Ovis aries: one gene and its partners. The protein of the gene in region 4 interacts with the protein of the main gene of each other region in a pairwise test. Links are inferred from orthologs where the notes say so. Each region holds a gene or a part of one and is shown on either strand. Other genes may lie near its edges. The genes, in order: AP1G1, AP1M1, KIF13A and AP1B1.

Region 1 (5,176 bases), on a different chromosome or scaffold from region 4:
ATCTGAGTTAAATTCACCCATTCCAGTCCATTTGAGTTCGCTGATTCCTAGAATGTAGACGTTCACTCTTGCCATCTCCTGTTTGACCACCTCCAATTTGCCTTGATTCATGGACCTAACATTCCAAGTTCCTATGCAATATTGCTCTTTACAGCATCGGATCTTGCTTCTATCACCAGTCACATCCACAGCTGGGTATTGTTTTTGCTTTGGCTCCATCCCTTCAGTCTTTCTAGAGTTATTTCTCCACTGATCTCCAGTAGCATATTGGGCACCTACTGACCTGGGGAGTTCCTCTTTCAGTATCCTATCATTTTGCCTTTTCATACTGTTCATGGGGTTCTCAAGGCAAGAATACTGAAGGGGTTTGCCATTCCCTTCTCCAGTGGACCATGCTCTGTCAGACCTCTACACCATGACCTGCCTGTCTTGGGTGGCCCCACACGGCATGGCTTAGTTTCACTGAGTTAGACAAGGCTGTGGTCCATGTGATTACATTGACTAGTTTTCTGTGATTATGGTTTCAGTGATGCCCTCTCAAAACACCTACCGTCTTACTTGGGTTTTCTTACCTTGGACTTGGGGTATCTCTTCACGGCTGTTCCAGCAAAGCACAGCCGCTACTGTGTGGATCACAATAAACTGTGGAAAATTCTGAAAGAGATGGGAATACCAGACCACTTGACCTGCCTCTTGAGAAACCTATATGCAGGTCAGGAAGCAACAGTTAGAACTGGACATGGAACAACAGACTGGTTCCAAATAGGAAAAGGAGTACATCAAGGCTGTATATTGTCACCCTGCTTATTTAACTTATATGCAGAGTACATCATGAGAAACTCTGGGCTGGAAGAAACACAAGCTGGAATCAAGATTGCCGGGAGAAATATCAATAACCTCAGACATGCAAATGACATCACCCTTATGGCAGAAGGTGAAAAGGAACTAAAAAGCTCTTGATGAAAGTGAAAGAGGAGAGTGAAAAGGTTGGCTTAATGCTCAACATTCAGAAAATGAAGATCGTGGCATCCGGTCCCATCACTTCATGGGAAATAGATGGGGAAACAGCGGAAACAGTGTCAGACTTTATTTTTGGGGGCTCCAAAATCACTGCAGATGTTGATTGCAGCCATGAAATTAAAAGACACTTACTCCTTGGAAGGAAAGTTATGACCAACCTAGACAACATATTAAAAAGCAGAGACATGACTTTGCCAACAAATGTCCATCTAGTCAAGGCTATGGTTTTTCCGGTGGTCATGTATGGATGTGAGAGTTGGACTGTGAAGAAAGCTGAGCACCAAAGAAGTGATGCTTTTGAACTGTGGTGTTGGAGAAGACTCTTGAAGTCCCTTGGACTGCAAGGAGATCCAACCAGTCCATTCTAAGGGAGATCAGCCCTGGGTGTTCTTTGGAAGGAATGATGTTAAAGCTGAAACTCTGGTACTTTGACCACCTCATGCGAAAAGTTGACTCATTGGAAAAGACTGATGCTGGGAGGGATTGGGAGCAGGAAGAGAAGGGGACGACAGAGGATGAGATGGCTGGATGGCATCACTGACTCCACGGACGTGAGTCTGAGTGAACTCCAGGAATTGGTGATGGACAGGGAGGCCTGGGGTGCTGCAATTCATGGGGTCACGGAGTCGGACACAACTGAGCGACTGAACTGAACACAAATTTTCTCTTTTTACAATGAGGAAACTGAGACCCAGAGAATCTAAATGTCTTGTTCAATGCCAAAGGTTGACAGGTGATAGTGTGCTTGAAATCCATTCTTCTGTGACATCCTCTATTTTTATAAAATGTGTTGCAAAGATGACATAAAACTTCAGAATCCAAGACTACTTGGAGCATGATCCTAAAGTTAACCTACACAGAAAGCTAAGGTCTGAAAAGTGATAGGTAAGAATTTGGGGTTCTGGTGGATCAGGACCAGCTCGGCCAGGCTCAGTATTCTCCGCCTCTACCTGCTTCTCCTCCCCATTTCCTCCGCTACCTTGCTAGCCCCACCCTTTTCAGGTGGCCCCGCCACTTCCTGGCAGCCCAGCTCCCACCCCACCGCAGGCGGAACCAATGTTCGTGGGCTCTGGGGTCCACCGGATCTTTCTCGCTCAGACTCTCCGCAGCGGTGACTCGGCAGCGGCGTCTCGCGTCATCAGTGACAGCCCCGATTCTTGCTACGCTTTGCGTCGCTCTTCCAGGAGCAGTCACCTCCTCCTTGGCAAATAGTCCTCGGTGGGGTCCGAATTCTTGGATAATAGGAGAGGGGAAGCAAGAGAAGTTGCAGTCTGGGAACGCGGGACCGACAAGCAGAGAGAGATAGGGCCCTAAGTTTCTGTGATAGTGTGCAAAGTTAGTTAAAAACTCCTTCCCACCTAAGATCCCTCCGCCTGCAGTAGCGGTGGTGAGGCCGAGGGAGCCGCCATTTTGGATGTTCGGTTCCTGCTGCCACTGCTGCCACCGCCCCCGGAGCTGCTGGTTTCATTCGAGGTTTCGGGCCGGTGAGTGTCAGTCGCGGCGCGAAGAGAATACTTCTTGTTTTACTCTTTGCCTGCCGGGAGCTCTCGGCCGGAAGTTTCCTGTCTATCCCAGGGGTCCGGTCCCAGATCGTGGAGGGTGAGAAGAGAGGACAGAGACTGGGCCAGGAGGGGCCGGGAGCACAAGGGTTGTTCATACTTCTTGAGGGCCAGCCCCGAGGCCTCAGACCCGGAGGCTCCGCACGCGGCTGCGTCTGTGTTATGGCGTTGCCCGGCCGGTACGGGCCTCCTTGCACCCATTGACTTTCTCAGGCTGCACTCCTCCTTTGAGGACTCATTGAGAGAGCCTGGGGTTAGCGGGGCGGGTCCCACCTCCGCGTGTCTTCTGTTTGCCACGTATCAGTGTTCTTGTATCTTGCATCCTAGTCAGGTCTTTCGTGAAACTCTCTTCTGTATTTCCAAATGCTCGGTTAGTTAATCGTTGTCTGCATCCGCATTGCCGTTCTCTTTGAACTGGACGTCGGCCTCGCCTCTCTCTAACCTTCCAACCAACTTCTTTCCCAATTTTCTGGGGTTCCCCCCGTCTTTTTCTTAAACTCACCTGTGAATGCATTGGTTACCCTTCTCTCAAAGTCCTAATCCTGCAGGCATCAGTTATTAATAATTCTCCCGATTTTCTTGGCGGCTTGACAGAGTCGGGACCGTTGGTTGTGTTTCTCAGTTAGGGTTTGGTGTAGGAGATTCGTCGAACCACTCGCTCAAGAGTGTGCTTCAACAGTACGTGTTTATAAAGCTGAGTAAAGGGTTTTTGGGGGGAAGGTGGTAGGAAGAGGCTGTCAAATATTTTCTCATTTGTATTTTCTCATCCCTTCTTGGGCTGAACACGTAGCTTCTGGGTACTTTTGGACACTTAACATATTTTTCTTAATGCTGTGTATCCCTGCCCAGGGCAGTCTGCCTCTGAAAAAGGATCTTAGTCTGACATTGGTAGAAGGGAAAGTAACCTTTTTTAGATACTGTAGGGATTAGTTAACAGAAGAGAGGAGTGAAGATTTCTTAGTGATTTTAACTTTCAAGTGGTTTGTACAGTAGTGTTCTTCGCTGATTAACTCCGGAAAAATACTTGGATTGACTTCTTGTATGTTATTTTTCTGGGGATAGTTGAATTTTAGATATTCACTTTTACTGTTCCCCATAATGCTTATCATACTGTATATGCTTTAACCTTTGCTTTAAAAATATAGACTCTCCAGACCCATAATTTCACCACTTTCATTCTATTCTTGAGGTATGTTTGCAGTATAGTATACTTGAATAAAAAGCATTTCACTGTAATTCACTGATTATTTCCTATAATTCAAGTTAGATGAGTGTGACTGAGTCACCTCTGTTTCACCTCAGCCTGGGTTTTCACATCTGCAAAAGAGAGATGTAAATTATTTGAGATGGTACCCTAGTGACTGCTGAAACTTAAATTTATAACTTGAACTTGACCAAATCTTTCAATACTTGAAATCCTAATTCCTGTATAAGTGCATTATTCTTATCAGGTTATTATCAGGTAGATAAATTCCTGTACTAGTCAAGAATGTTTCATTGTAAATAGTGTTCTTGGTATTTGTTTTCAGGAGACTTTCCAAAAATGTTTTATTTACTGTTTGTATATTTACTTTAAAGCCATGGAGTCTCATTTTGGTTTAAAGGGCTGTCTAACAAGATAAATGGAATCCTCACTCATATATGTGGGCTTCCCTGGTGCTCAGATGGTCAAGAATCTGCCCGCCATTCGGGAGACCTGGGTTCGATCCCTGGGTTGGGAAGATTCCTTGGAGGAGGAAATGGCAACCCACTCCAGTATTCTTGCCTTGGAGAATCCCCATGGGCAGAGGAGCCTGGTGGGTTGCAAAGAGTTGGACACGACTGAGTGACTAAACACAGCAGCACTCATATACTGAGTATACCCTTGTAGTTGCTACTGAAATGTTCATTTCTGAGTTACACTATCAAATACTCCCAATATTAAATATTGGGAGAGCTATCAGATGGGTGTTAACTTAGTTCATTTCAGGGTATTAAGTACTGCTATTTAAACGTCATTCATTCTTGGGTAGTTTGCATGCAGTTGGAGAAAGCATCCTTTTGCCTTGCAAATGATAAGTGTTTATTTTAGTGCACTTTCGAGTGATCATACTTGAATGTCTACTTGGTCTAAGGGATTGTTGGGGTTCCATACTTGAAATAAACATTGTTTAGGAAACCTTAATTTCTTTTGGAGCAGTTGCTTGTTCTTTGATTTGTTTCACTGACAGCAGTTCTAGATTTGAAGATGAATTTTAGAGTGAAAATATAAAGTACGAAAATTGTCAGCAATGTTTTGGTGATATTTCATCATACTATTTATTTTTAAAAGTGGTCTTGAGTCGAGATTAGTCGTGTGCAAAAACAAAAACTTATGTTTTTATGTGATTAGTAATAATACTATGCAGATTGAAAAAGTTGAAGGAATATTTTCCAAAAGATTATTTTTAATTAAAAAAATGGAATTGGGAAAACACATACCAAAACAGATTATCAAAATGCTTAATCTCCTTATTCGCATTTGATGAGGATTTAAAAATTTTGTGTATACAGCATGATGTAATTGATATCAAAACTTTAAAACTAATTTGGATTCAGCTTCAGAAAGTGTAAAACTA
Region 2 (3,812 bases), on a different chromosome or scaffold from region 4:
TCTGGCCACTGTCTCTTTGTACGCTGTGGCTCCCCAGTGTCTCCTGGAGGGGGCCGCCAGGGCTTGCTGCAGATGCGGGCATGGCAGTGAGGGGTGGGGCATCAGGGTGCCTATAAGGGCTTTGGCCTGAGCCCTGGGCCAGGGCAGCGTTCTTTCTGCCATGTGGTAGATGATCAAGACTCCACTTGGGTTGGTGCCCAATAGACCTCCAAGGCGGGGCTGGGTGATACGGGAGAGGGAAAGGGAGACACAGCCCCTGCAGGCAGCAGGGGGCAGGCCTGTGACTGCAGTGGGCAGACAAGCTGCCTTCTGCCCACGGCCCTGCCGAGACCCCCCTGTGGAGGGGGCGCCAGGCCGCGGTCCTCAGACTCCAGGGCACGTATGAATCACATGCAGAGCCTGTTAGCCGGTCTCCTGGCCCCACCTCCAGAGACTGCCACGGCGGGTAAAGGAGGGCGCCTGTGAGCCTGCACGTGCGGGGGGACACTGATGCTGCTGGCAGCAGGACCACACTCTTGAGGAAGCCCACTGGGCTGCGGAGGGGAGCAGGCTGCTGGTGGCCCGAGGGCCGAGGGCTGTGACGGTCATCTCAGACGGGACGGAAACGTTTGCCCGTGAGCCCTCCCCTCTGCAGCCCCTCTGGGAGGCCCCTGGGCAATGGCTCTGCTTGCTCATTGCCTGGTCCCGTCTTCCCCAGGGGACATAGGGGCCCCAGGGACTGGTGCCCCACTCAGGTTGGTGTGCGCCTACCCCTCTCCTGGGCACCCAGGAGTCAGCACAACGCTGTACCAGACGGAAGGCATGTTTAACCGATGGAGTTTAATGTACTCATGGCACAAACATGGACAGGGTTGGGGGCGGCGGTGTCCAAGCACAGATGGGGATGGCCTGGGACCCCCACCCTCTGAGGCTGGGGGCCCGCGCTGGACCCCTCTTCCCCTGGCGGGACAAACACTGATGTGGCTGAGTGACAGCATCATGTGGCACGGGCTGGCCCTGAGAAGGCGTCTCTATTCAAAGCTCCAGACCAGGAGCCTCTAGTCGAAACGCCAGGTGCTGAGAGGGCAAACCGGTGTCAGCCTCACTGGGGAGGAGGGCGAGGAAGGGGAAGCCTGTCCTCGCTAAGTGCTGCCTGAGAGCTTCAGGACGGGGGAGGGAGGCACAGACAGCGAGGATCACATACACAGCGACGGCCGGAGACAAAATCTAGGAATGCTCGATAAACCCACGGCATCCAACAGAGTGGCAGCACGAGGGCAGCCCTGCCAGCCTGGCCAGAGCGCGGCCCGGGCGGTGCTTCCCACTCTTTCTGTGACCGGGAGCGGAACAGCACAGAAGGCTGTATTTGACCTCTGGAGGGAAAGATGCCTTTCCTTCTCCCTAAACTGACTCAGGGACTGAGAGACAAGACCTCTTGAAGATGAGCCTCTTCTGGGAAAAGGGGACTTGGGAGGTGAGAGTGGCGGCGGCAGAGCAGGTGCACCTGGGAGGAGGGGCTCCTGGGTGGAGCCTGGAGGGGCGCCAGGGTCCAGGGGAGCCCCTCCCTCCAGCAGGCTGGGCAGGCGCTTCCACCGGGAGCCTCCGGGCTGGGAGGGTGGGCCACCACGGCTGCTCACTGGGTCCGGAGCTGGTAATCTACAAAGAGGGAGGGGGGCGTCCATTGTCTGCTCTGACCCTGGAGGAGGGGCCGCCCCACCTGCCCTGACCCTGAGGTTGCTCCCTGAGCACCACCCTGGGGACAGAGGCACGCCCACCAGGGGCCTTTTCAGCAATCCCCCCCTGCCCCTAGGGCGGGTCGCACGCACCTCCGTTCTGAGTGATGTAGCGAACCCACGGTAAGGCCTGGTAGCCACTCTTCTCGATGATCTTCAGGTAACGCACCTGCGGCACAGGCATCAGGGCCCTAAGCATGCACACGCGGCCCCACTCCTGGCTGCCCACCCAGCCACTCCTCCTGGGGCTGGGCTGAGACCAAGAGGGCGAGGGAGAGGGCGAAGCACATTAGTCTATTTCACACTCAGGCCGGGGGAGGGTGGAGATGCTTCTAGAAGGTGCGGCAAGAGCCAGATGTGCACTCGCAGGCACGACCCTCTAGCAGATTCCTAGAGAAGGGGTCAATCCCAGGGTTTTCTGCCCCATACAGGGCTTCCGTGGAGGTGCCAGGAAAATGGACCCCACAGCGGCAAGTGTGTGGACATTAGTTTTGGGGGCTGAATGCATCTCTGAGCCTGGAGCACAGGTCAGGTGTGAGCAGACCACTGCAGGCCTCTTTCCATCAGGGCCAGGCTGCCCACGGAGACGGGCAGGGCGCCCACGGAGACGGGCAGGGCGCCCACGGAGACGGGCAGGGCGCCCACGGAGACGGGCAGGGCGGCCACGGAGACGGGCAGGGCGGCCACGGAGATGGGCAGGGCGCCCACGGAGATGGGCAGGGCTGGGGAGCAGCTTGGAGTGCTGGGACGAGTCAGCTAGCACCCTTCGCTAACTGGCTGCACTCGTGTCTGTCACCTTCAACCCTCTGAGCCTGGACTGGTGCCTGGCCCCTGAGAGGCCCCGCTGGGCCTGTCCATGTCTGCCCCGGGGCCCCGGCTGCCCTGGTTGCACGTGCCTGGATGCCAGAGGTAGTGAAGTAGGGGATCTCGAACTTGACGCTGATCGGGGGCTTGCCCTCCTTGTCCTCTGCCTCCACGCTGGGCAGGCCAAAGTGGGCCCGCATCAGGTACTCCTTGCCGCCCTGCGGGAGCAGACCACAGAGGAGATGGTCAGGCGGAGGCCCTGGCAGGTCCATCCAACAGCTGCCCCTGGAGAATGCCAGGCTGAGGGCCTGGCCAACGAGTCCCTTCCTGCACGGTCTGTGGCCACCCTGGGCCTCGGCTCCTGCAACACACTCACACTTACCTTATCCTCTAAGCCTCCTGGGCTGCCCACACCAGCCCCGCTAGGGAAAATTCATCCTCTAATTCTGAGGATGAAGAGAAACTGCTACAAGTTCCCAGGCACAGAAGCCTAGTTGCGTCGAGGAAAAGAAGAACACTAGGCCTTGGGGAGGAAGGAGGGAGAGGAAGAGCGAGCGCTGGCACGGGGCGACAGGGCTGCCTGGGACTGACGAGCTGGCCCTAGGTCTCCCCCTGGAAGGGAAAGGCTCTGGCCCTGGAAGCGGACTCCAGAGCTGGGACTTGTAGCGGGGGAAGGAATGGCTGCCCTGCTGGTGCAGTGGTAAAGAATCCACCTGCCAATGCAGGAGATGCTGGTTCGATCCCTGGGTCAGGAAGATCCCCTGGAGGAGGAAACGGCCACCCACTCCAGTATTCTTGCCTGGGAAATCCCATGGACAGGGGAGCTTGGCAGGCTACAGTCCACAGGGTAGCAAAGAATCGGACACGACTGAGCGACTGAACTCTCAGCCATGAGGGGTCAGGAGTCCTGGCCTGGTTGTCCCAGTGCCTGGTGAGTAACACAGAACTGCAGAGAGCAGTAGGAAATGCAGCTCTCATCACACCAGGACACGGAGGGTTTTGATCCTCAGGCCTTTGGAAACAGGAGTCACTGCTGACCAGGGCTGCCTCTGCACGGCCTCGGCAGAGCAGCGCAGAGCTCTGCCTCTCCAGTGCTGTGCTCACCCTCCCCTTTCAGGGATGAAGTGAGAGGTCAGGATCTGCTCATCAGTGCAGGCGTGTGGACTCTGCCTGACTTGGTGCTGTGTGCTCAGTGAAGATTCTGGGACAACAAGGGGAGAATAATGCAGCCTCAGCAATAGACAAAGCAGGGCTTCCCTGGTGGCTCAATGGTAAAGAGTCTGCTTGCCAACGCAG
Region 3 (4,383 bases), on a different chromosome or scaffold from region 4:
AGAAAGCATTTAAACTAGCAACTCTTTCAGCCCTCCAGATTCTCATATTCTGATCATATATACCCAAAGAGGTTTCTAGAGGGGATCTTTAAAAGAACAAACCCTCCAGCTCACATCAGGGTCTCTTCACAGATGTTCTGCGGACGTCAAGGTGATGTTCTACCTCTCAGAAGCTACTGCTGCACCTCTTGCCCTCCTCCCCTTTGAGAGCATTCTTACCTTCCTGTTGGCACTGAGGTTCGCAGCAGGGATCTGCAGAGTCACCTGGTAGTCGGTGAGCTTGCTCATCTCCTCGGCTAAGAAGTTTGCCTCTCTCACCAGGGTGTTGGCTTTCACCAGCTGCTCCCGCAGTTTTGCCAAACTTTGGCGAAAGAGTTCATCCCTGCAAGCAGCAGAGAAGGAAGTGAGCACATCCGGAAGAAAACTGCAATCCCGTTTTCCAAGTGAGTCATACTGTTAGAAAGTAGTTAAGAATCTCCTCTCAGACAATTATCTTTCAACCTATTTTTGCCAATTCACCTCTTATCCTTCCCTCTTCCCACTGGGGTTCCATGGGTTATCCACTGGTAACCAGGGATGAGAAGCAAATGTATGGGGTAACTTAACTTCCAACCATGTTTTAAATTCTATAATATTTGAAAAAGAATAGATTTTGATATGAAAATGCAAAAAAAAAAAAAAAAAGCCCAATAAAACATTCCTTTAGGAAAAAGAAATCATTATGACTTTTGTAAACTTTAGAGTGGAGGAGATCTAGAATAAGGAGAAAGTGTTTTATGTGATTTCTTCACTTGGTAAATGTGAGAAGTATGTACTTCTGGGGCAGCAGAAGTTTGCTTTTCAACTCTAAATGATAGTGCTTCTTGATAAATGTGTCTCTAACATCCTAACTAGATCCAAACCCTATTACATGTTTTCCCGGAGCCACATCTTTTGCCTCCGTAGTCTTTGTCATGTAGCTCAGCTGATAAGAATCCGCCTGCAATGCAGGAGACCCTGGTTCGATTCCTGGGATGGGAAGATCCGCTGGAGAAGAGATAGGCTACTCACTCCAGTAGTCTTGGGCTTCCCTGGTGGCTCAGCTGGTAAAGAATCTACCTGCAATGCGGGAGACCTGGGTTCGATCCCTGGGTTGGGAAGATCCCCTGGAGAAGGGAATGGCTACCCAGTCCAGTATTCTGGCCTGGAGAATTCCATGGTCTGTTCCATGGGGTCGCAAAGAGTCAGACATGACTGAGTGACTTTCATTTTCAGTCTTCATCATAGTTACAATTTTTCACTTATTTGTATAATTATTTGACTAATAACATCCATCTCCCCTATGAAGCTTTAGTAAGCACCCCTAGAGCAGGGGCCATGTCTTTTTTGCTTGTCACTACACTTAATTCCTGGCCAAGTACATGGCCCATCACAGAATATGCAAAAATTACCCACTGAACAAAAGAAAGAGTATAGCTGACCCTTGAACAACATGAGTTTGAACCGCACAGGTCTGCTTAGATATGGAATTTTTTCTCTGTGACCCATGGTTGGTTGAATCTGTGGATGTGGAATGTAGATATCAAGGGCCAACTGCAAAGTTACACTCGGATTTTCTGTAGCATAGAGTGTCGACACGCAATAAATGCTTAAGAAATGTCCGGTGCTATTATTATTACAACAGAGGAGTTATTAATGGACTGTCAACAAAGCCTGGCCTTTTCATTTACTGAAAGCATGACTGATAGGGTATTTCAATTGATTGAAATAATATTTCCCATGACTTGGTGCTGTTGGGATCATAAAAAAGCATCATTCCTAGACCGTGGCAAGAATACAACAGAGCTTTGTAATAATTTACTATCTTTACCGTTGTTACCATTTCCTCCACTGCTGCCTCAGTTCTGATACAAATATTTTAAAGTTGTAAATTTAAAAAATTCACAGATTTCTTAACATTAAAACTGCATTTACATTGATTCCAAAGTAAGAGAAATAACAGAACAAGAAATGCTTTTTATGCTTTGAGTGAGTGAAAGTCGCTCAGTCATGTCCAATTCTTTGGGACCCCATGGACTGTAGCTCACCAGGCTCCTCTGTCCATGGATTTCTCAGGCAAGAATACTGGAATGGGTTGCCATTTCCTTCTCCAGAGGATCTTCTGGACCCAGGGATCAAACCCAGGTATTCTGCATTGCAGGCGGATTCTTTACCGTCAAAGACACCAGGGAAGCATGCTTTTATGCTTTAGAACTATTCAATTATTCTTTACTTCAGAACGAAACTGTGATATTCTAACTTGGCACCATTTTTACTGAAGGGTAAGGGGGCAGGTGTAATCTTTAACAACTGATGTCACAGTAAATATACTTGAAAGTGAAAAAGTGAAGTCTCTCAGTTGTATCCGACTCTTTCAGATCCCATGGACTGTAGCCCGCTGGGCTCCTCCATCCATGGGATTTTCCAGGCAAGAAGACTGGAGCGGGGTGCCATTTCCTTCTCCAGGGGGAACTTCCTTGAAAGACAAGGCGACTTCTAACAATTCAGACATGGAAGTAAGATTTCCCTCTTTGCTAGGTTTGTCCCCGTTTGACGTGCCTTACAACGGCCTCCCCCGAGGCCCCGAGGCCTTGCCCCAGGCCCCCGGGTCCCCTTCCTACCTCTCCTCGGCCCACTGGGTCACCTTCTGCTGCGCTGTCTGGCTGCTGTAGGCCAGGCGGTCGGGGCCGCTGATCTGGGGCTGCCTCTCCGGGGACAGCTGCTGGCGGAGCTGCTCCAGCTCCCGCTCGTACATGAGTCGCTGCTCCTCGAGGGCGCTTCGCTTTTCTTCCAGGTACTGTTTCTCCAGGACCTGCACCACGTTCTGAACTGGGTCTGGTGAGCCAAGAGACAAGGCAAGGGGCTCTTCAGCAGTGACTCAGACAGGCAGCGCCCCCCAACCCCCAGCGAGGCTTCTAACAAGAACCATCTCGTCCCCCAGATGGAGCCCTTCAGCGCGCTTGTCTGTGAGCGGCCGGCCGGGCCCAGTCAGGTGGAATTCTCTCCATTTCCTTTTTCTTAACATTTCAGATTAAACACCTTGTATGGAAACACTCCTCACATCTATTATTACGTTCTTCAATTTGATGAGCTCGCCCTGATGTGTAGATAGGTGGCTCAACTACAAAAAGAAGAAGGTAGAGGAGAAAGGGATGGTATTCTATCCACCGAGAAGAAAGACTCGATGAAATCTAAGGTGATTTCAAAGACAGAGCCACACAAGATTTGATTTTATGTCGTCACTTTTTAGGTGCATTTACCATTGGTCTTAGTTGACAAAGGGTTTATAGTAGTTCCCACTGACAAACCCAATGACAAAGGGCTTATAGTTCCAATATGGCTAAAAATTTGTTTCTCCTGAATTCCTCTAATGTGGGAGGAAACTTACAGATCACAGCATCTGTTTGAAAATATGAATTGAGTATATGGTCTGCCAATTTCTCAGGTGTTAATAGCCAAGAAAGCAATTCACTTACAAAAACAGAAGTCTACTTCTGCTTTTTTGCTTTTGCAGATTGAAAGATGACCAACAGACATGTCAGTGAACAGGTATTAGAAATACTAACAGATCTTGTTTAATGGAGCCCTGACTATGACTAGGGGTGGTTATGGTGTAGGTAGGACTCAATCCTAAAGAGCTAATTGGTTGTCCCAGGACATTAGCTCGGTAACAGCTGATGACCTGGATGCAGTGGACAAAAACTAAGGAAAGCACAGACCACGTGTACAAAAGAGAAAGCTATGACACATCCAAGTGAGGAGGCCGTAATAGGGAAACAGTATGTTAGACAATCTGGATGGTAAACAAAGAAACTTACCATAACGGTAAATATTTCCTTGAAGTACATAAGACCTAGGAGATTTACTTGTATTCTCAGACTAGCCTGCGATTTACGCACTTGCCTATTATTCAGTGCAGTGTCCTATTTCTACAAATTGAGTCTCATTTTAATTTCTGGGATAAGAGAAGGAAATTAAGAGGAATCTTCACATCACCTGATGATGGATACCGACTGACTAGACCAGAAGACCCTATCAATTTGTGAAATAAGCATTCATATTTTACTGGTTTTCTATATGAGATGAAGGGGAAAAAATAGCACTTTAGCTTAAAAAAGGTTAAAGAATACAAAACAGAGTAAAAGTAATTTTAAAAATCACTAGATATGCACAGTACAGGTGAGCTGTTTTAATAAAAATGATGACCACAACAGCAATAATAATGCTGCTATCTGTTGGCTTATGTCTCAGAGTAGAGGCACTATATGCTTCGCATGCATCATCTCATGAAAGCCTTGCAACAAACCTAGGGGTGGGCAGCATTCCCATTTTAAAGAGGAGATGACTGGAGCTCAGAAAAGTTAA
Region 4 (5,068 bases):
AGTTCAGTGCAATACCCACTTACTCACTCATTTACTGAGCACCTACTATGCACCAGATATTTCACCAGGTGCTGGAGACACAGACAAGTCCTACCCAAGGATTAAGAGCTGCTCACTTGGAAGACAGCCAAGCACACAGACAATGACAACACACTGTGACCAAGGCCTCAAGACGTCCAGCTCAGGCTTGCAGGTGGTTGGGGTTGGGGAGCAGATCAGAGGGGGAGCACCAAGCAGTGGTCTGGGAAAAGGCGCATGCGCCACAGGAGCCTGCGCTCAGGAGGCGGGGCCAGTGCAGAGCAGAGACACACAGGCCAGCAGCTGGCCTGGCGGGAGCCCAGAGCAGCTGCCTCTGCCTGCACTCAGGGAGAGGCTGGAGTGGGCAGCTAGAGAGACGAGGCAGGAGAGCCGAGCAGGGCTAGAGCTCAGAAGGCCGTGCAGGCCAGGCCAAGAAATGCGAGCTTCAGCCAAGAGCAAGGAGGGTCCGCGGATGGACACTCAAGTAGAACTGTTTAAAAAATATGTATTTATTTAGTCGTACTGGGTCTCAGCTGCAGCACATGGGATCCTTTGTTGCGACCCACGGACTCTCTAGTTGTGGAGTGTGGGCCTGGTTGCTCTGCGGCATGTGGGATCTTAGTTCCCTGACCAGGGATCGAACCCAAGTCCCCTGCATTGCAAGGCAAATTCGTGACCACTAGGCAACCAGGGAAGTCCCTTCAAGTAGAATTATTTTTAAAAGATTCCCCACTTGTCTAATTAATATTTTCTCTCTGGAGCTGTTCATTCCTCTCTGTGTGGAGAGAAAAAGAACACAAAAATCATTCCTGGGCTGTGAAAATTTATCAGTGATCTATCTTAGGCAAAAAGACCTATTCAGAAAAAGAAATACCTGCAAGTAACAGAAGCCCCTTTGATTTCTGGAAACACATTGGAGCTCAAAACTCATAACCAAGCCATGCTGGCTCACCATTAGCACATCACACTTTGGTGCCAAGAATGGGGGTTTTCGGGAAGTAAGCAAGCAAGTCATGCAACAGCTTCAAGGATAACTAGAGAAAGATGAAAGTCCAAGCCCAGAGCTAGCAGGATCAACAGATTGAACTTGTTCTGAAACACTTTAAGGAAGTGAAACAAGAAGGATGGGAGAGGTCCTGTGTACACAAAGGACTCTGCAGAGAGAAGTAACACCCCCAAAACCAGCCCCCAGGAAACATCAACTGCCTAGGGTCAAGGCACTCACCACAACAGACTCTGCACAAAGTCCTTGTCCAGCTTCCACACGAGTCACTGCTGAGGGGGAGGTGAAGGTGGTGGTATTATTGTAGAGCTGAGGGATAGGTGGCTCTGGGTCACGCTACCAAGAAGCTGCTGATCTGGGGGGAGAATCCACGGCTGACAGATGGGGGGACAAGGAAGGCTCTTTCCACCACACCACTGAGCTCTCCAAGTCACTCAGGTGAAGCCTCTACTCAAACTACACTCAACAGTTAAACTTTATACAAAGTCTGAGGGACCTGAGTCTTTGAACACTAGTGAAGCCACTCTTCATGAAGCTGCCCTGAGGGGTTGAAGGAGCCTGGTGGGCTCAACTCAGGACAGGGAGCCAGACACTCTGAGCGCTGCTCCTGTTCCTACCATCTGTGACGAGTCACTTTATCTCAAATCCTCCCTTGGAAGGATGGGGATCAGGTGACAATATTAAGTTTCTGTGAATTCAATGGAACTAGGAAAACAGACAGTGGAGTTTAAAAACAGGTACTGCACAGTAATATTTATACCTCAGCTTTCTTTATAAGTGCGTGGAAATCCTCACAGGTTCACTAAGGCTTGTAAAACCCCGGAGTGTGTAGGAAGTCAGCAGGTCTGTGCTGCTATCAGGGAAACTGAAGCCGAACTGCAGCACGTGAATGTCTGCAACCGAGTAAAGCTCAGACTCACAAGACCTAATCCTCTGGCCATGAAACCACCTCACTGTCTCCCAGGCAAGATGTGTGTTCTCCAGTCAAGAAGGCATGGGACCTGCACTTTTCTCAGAGACTCAGGTCCTTGCCTTGGGAATGCTCTTCAAGAACCTAGGGCCAAAAGATACCCTAGGGGTCATGTGGTTCCTCCCCTTACTTGAAAAAGAATGCAGCTTGACCACTCTCAAGAGAGGTGCAGCATATTCTTAAATTCATTGCATGGCTAGACTGTTTTATGTCTCGCAGTTCTCAACAGTTGGGAAAAAGGCCCCTTCTCACCCTGAACAGAAATCAGTTATAGCAATGGCCTAATTTCATCCTAAAGAAAGGGAATCAAATGCTCCTTAGGAAGGTAGATGAGAAGAAAGCAAGCTACATCTCTAAATGCTATTGTTCAGTCGCTCAGTCATGTCCAACTCTGCGACCCCATGGACTGCAGCCCACCAGGCTCCGCTGTCCATGGGATTCTCCAGGCAAGAATACTGGAGTGGGTTGCCATTTCCTTCTCCAGGGAAATATATCTTTATATAGATGCAAATAAATTTAATGGCGGCTAAAGATATTAAACAGCCCCTAAATGCCAACCTTGCTTCAGTCTCAGCACGCTGCAGGTCCCTGCGAGCCCAGGTAGGAACCCTGGCATTCATCCATACTACTCGATTGACCTTACAGGTGTGATTTAACTTTTCTGTGCCTCAGTTTCTTCGTGGATAAAATGGGGATAATAATAGTAGCTACCTCACCAAGATTGCTGGGAAGTTTAAATGCGGCATTCTAAGCACGGTGCCTGCACACAGCTCAATAACCAGCAGCTAGCATTCCCATCAGTAGTTCTGGCGTTATTACAGGGGTCCCCAGTTACCTCGTCTGTGAGGCGCCTAGGGACAGACCAATCCTCTGTTTAACCCCACCCTAGAGGCGGTGGCGCCAGGCCGTTTCATATTTTTTTTTCTGTTTTTGAACCTTGGCAAAGAGATAAGGCCCTTAACGACAAGGAGGCCTCAGGACAGCCACGGCGCTGAGTGTGCAGGGGGAACCAAGACCCGAAGAGAAGTTTCCTGTCAGGCCAGGCACAAGCTCCCCTGGGCCTAAGTCTAGGAGTCTCTACGGGAGGGCGCCCCGGCAGGGACTGCGGACCTGGGACGGCTGGGGTGCACGCCGGCGGCCAAGGGGGCGCGAATGAATGAACCCGCAGCCCTTCTGCCTCCTCCCGTCCTGGGAAGCCACTCTAGACCCTCCAGCGCCCTGTACTCTCCGTGACCTTTGACCCCAGAAATCCCTCACCTCAGACTCCCGACTCCCCGCCCCACTTCTTCTCTGGCCTCGCCAGGCTCCCCGCTTCCTCACCCGCAGGTCCGAAAGGCTCCTGACGCCACGGCGCGGCTCGACGCGACAGGAAAATGTCCGCGGCCTTGTCCTCCCGCTCTCCCGGTGCGCCCGCGCCGCCGGACGCTCGGAGCCCCGCGGCTGTCACCTGCCAGGCGGAAGTGAGCTGCCCGCGCGCGGGCACTTCCGGTGGACGCACAGGCTGGGGGCGGGGTCAAGGGTACAACCCGGGCGGGGGCGGTGGCAGCGAGGCGGGGCCAGGGGGCGGGGCGTCGGAGTTAACTCCGCCCTCGACACGTTGCTGCTCCGCCAAGCAAAAAATACCACAAGATGGTTGGATAGCATCACCGACTCAATGGACATGAGTTTGAGTAAACTCCGGGAGTTGGTGATGGACAGGGAGGCCTGGCGTGCTGCAGTCCATGGGGTCGCAAAGAGTCGAACACGACTGAGCGACTGAACTGAGCTGAACTGAGCCTATATAACATGACGGAGATGGAGAAGATCATAGAGACTTTGAGGTCTATTTTTCTTTGTTTTGAGGTCAGCTTCGCTTCTGTGTTACAAACAGGAAAACTCAGTCTCTGAGAGGCGCCAGTGTTGCTCAAGATCACTTACCTGTGAAGAGAAGAGTTAAACTAGAGCTGTAAGTCTAACCTACCGCTTGAAGCAGCCCTTCGGGGAATTCCGCGTAAACCTCACACCTCCAAGGAGAACTTAAAAGTTCCATTTCCCGTTTTGCTGGGTCGGCCAGGCCAGGGTTGCTATAGGTATCTCACTCCCAGCTCTGGTATTATTAACTTTCTCCTCCTCCTAGATAATTTCTGATCATCTTCTTAAAAACATCTAAAATAATATTTGCATTATGGAAATATACGAGTAAGCAAAAGGCTATGTAAAAAATCCTGCAATCCTGCCACCCTGAGACAATAATTTTTAAGATTTTGGTGAATATCCTTCCAGACTCGATATATCCATTCAGTATTTTTAATTCACCAAGATATTGGTGAATTGGTGAATTATTGTTTCCCAAAACAATAAATACATTTCTACTTGGTGTTTTACAATATCTGCATGGAATTGCGCAGTATGAACGGCACCACTGTTCTCCGAAACAGTCCCCTACAGTTGTGCACTTTATCACTAGTCTTTTAATATTATAAAATGTATAATATTATATTATACATTTTATATATTTATGTATATATAAATATATTTACTTATATATTATATATAATTATAATACATAATACATTTATTTATTCTACATTATGTACAATATATATTATGTATTATAAATTATACTATATTATATATAATATATAAATAATATATTAGAAATATAATATATAATATATAAATATATAATATGTGTTATATATAAACACTGAACTGATGCATATATATGTCTGTATGTATTTTATATATAATAATCATATATTATAATATAATATATAAAGTATATAACATTATATATAATATATTATAATATATTAATATAACATGTATTTTATATGCATATATATGTATGTATATATCTATATATGCGTATATAATATTAATTTATATATTTAAAATTGTATTATATGTTATATATAATATAATACATATCATCAGTTCAGTTCAGTTGCTCAGTCGTGTCCGACTCTTTGCGATCCCATGAATCGCAGCACGCCAGGCCTCCCTGTCCATCACCATCTCCCGGAGTTCACTCAGACTCATGTTCATCAAGTCAGTGATGCCATCCAACCATCTCATCCTCTGCCGTCCCCTTCTCC

What was found.
Region 1: the proteins of AP1B1 (region 4) and AP1G1 interact in a two-hybrid assay, tested with the Homo sapiens proteins (2 studies listed by BioGRID, with this or other methods). The link is inferred for Ovis aries from reciprocal best matches to the Homo sapiens genes AP1B1 and AP1G1.
Region 2: the proteins of AP1B1 (region 4) and AP1M1 interact in a two-hybrid assay, tested with the Homo sapiens proteins (2 studies listed by BioGRID, with this or other methods). The link is inferred for Ovis aries from reciprocal best matches to the Homo sapiens genes AP1B1 and AP1M1.
Region 3: the proteins of AP1B1 (region 4) and KIF13A interact in binary tests that used the Homo sapiens proteins (3 or more experiments, as listed by UniProt). The link is inferred for Ovis aries from reciprocal best matches to the Homo sapiens genes AP1B1 and KIF13A.

Annotation. Positions count from the first base shown.
Region 1 is NC_056067.1:38,789,529-38,794,704, forward strand, and holds the start of AP1G1 (AP-1 complex subunit gamma-1), read left to right. Parts: upstream 1-2,184; 5' UTR 2,185-2,619; exon of another isoform or gene 2,620-5,176. UniProt on the Homo sapiens protein: Subunit of clathrin-associated adaptor protein complex 1 that plays a role in protein sorting in the late-Golgi/trans-Golgi network (TGN) and/or endosomes.
Region 2 is NC_056058.1:6,572,950-6,576,761, forward strand, and holds the end of AP1M1 (AP-1 complex subunit mu-1), read right to left. Parts: intron 2,735-3,812; coding exon 2,609-2,734; intron 1,882-2,608; coding exon 1,806-1,881; intron 1,636-1,805; coding exon 1,613-1,635; 3' UTR 800-1,612; downstream 1-799. UniProt on the Homo sapiens protein: Subunit of clathrin-associated adaptor protein complex 1 that plays a role in protein sorting in the trans-Golgi network (TGN) and endosomes.
Region 3 is NC_056073.1:38,941,837-38,946,219, reverse strand, and holds part of KIF13A (kinesin-like protein KIF13A), read right to left. Parts: intron 2,854-4,383; coding exon 2,640-2,853; intron 383-2,639; coding exon 220-382; intron 1-219. UniProt on the Homo sapiens protein: Plus end-directed microtubule-dependent motor protein involved in intracellular transport and regulating various processes such as mannose-6-phosphate receptor (M6PR) transport to the plasma membrane, endosomal sorting during melanosome biogenesis and cytokinesis.
Region 4 is NC_056070.1:68,659,233-68,664,300, forward strand, and holds the start of AP1B1 (AP-1 complex subunit beta-1), read right to left. Parts: upstream 3,459-5,068; 5' UTR 3,312-3,458; exon of another isoform or gene 3,249-3,311; intron 1,294-3,248; 5' UTR 1,244-1,293; intron 1-1,243. UniProt on the Homo sapiens protein: Subunit of clathrin-associated adaptor protein complex 1 that plays a role in protein sorting in the late-Golgi/trans-Golgi network (TGN) and/or endosomes.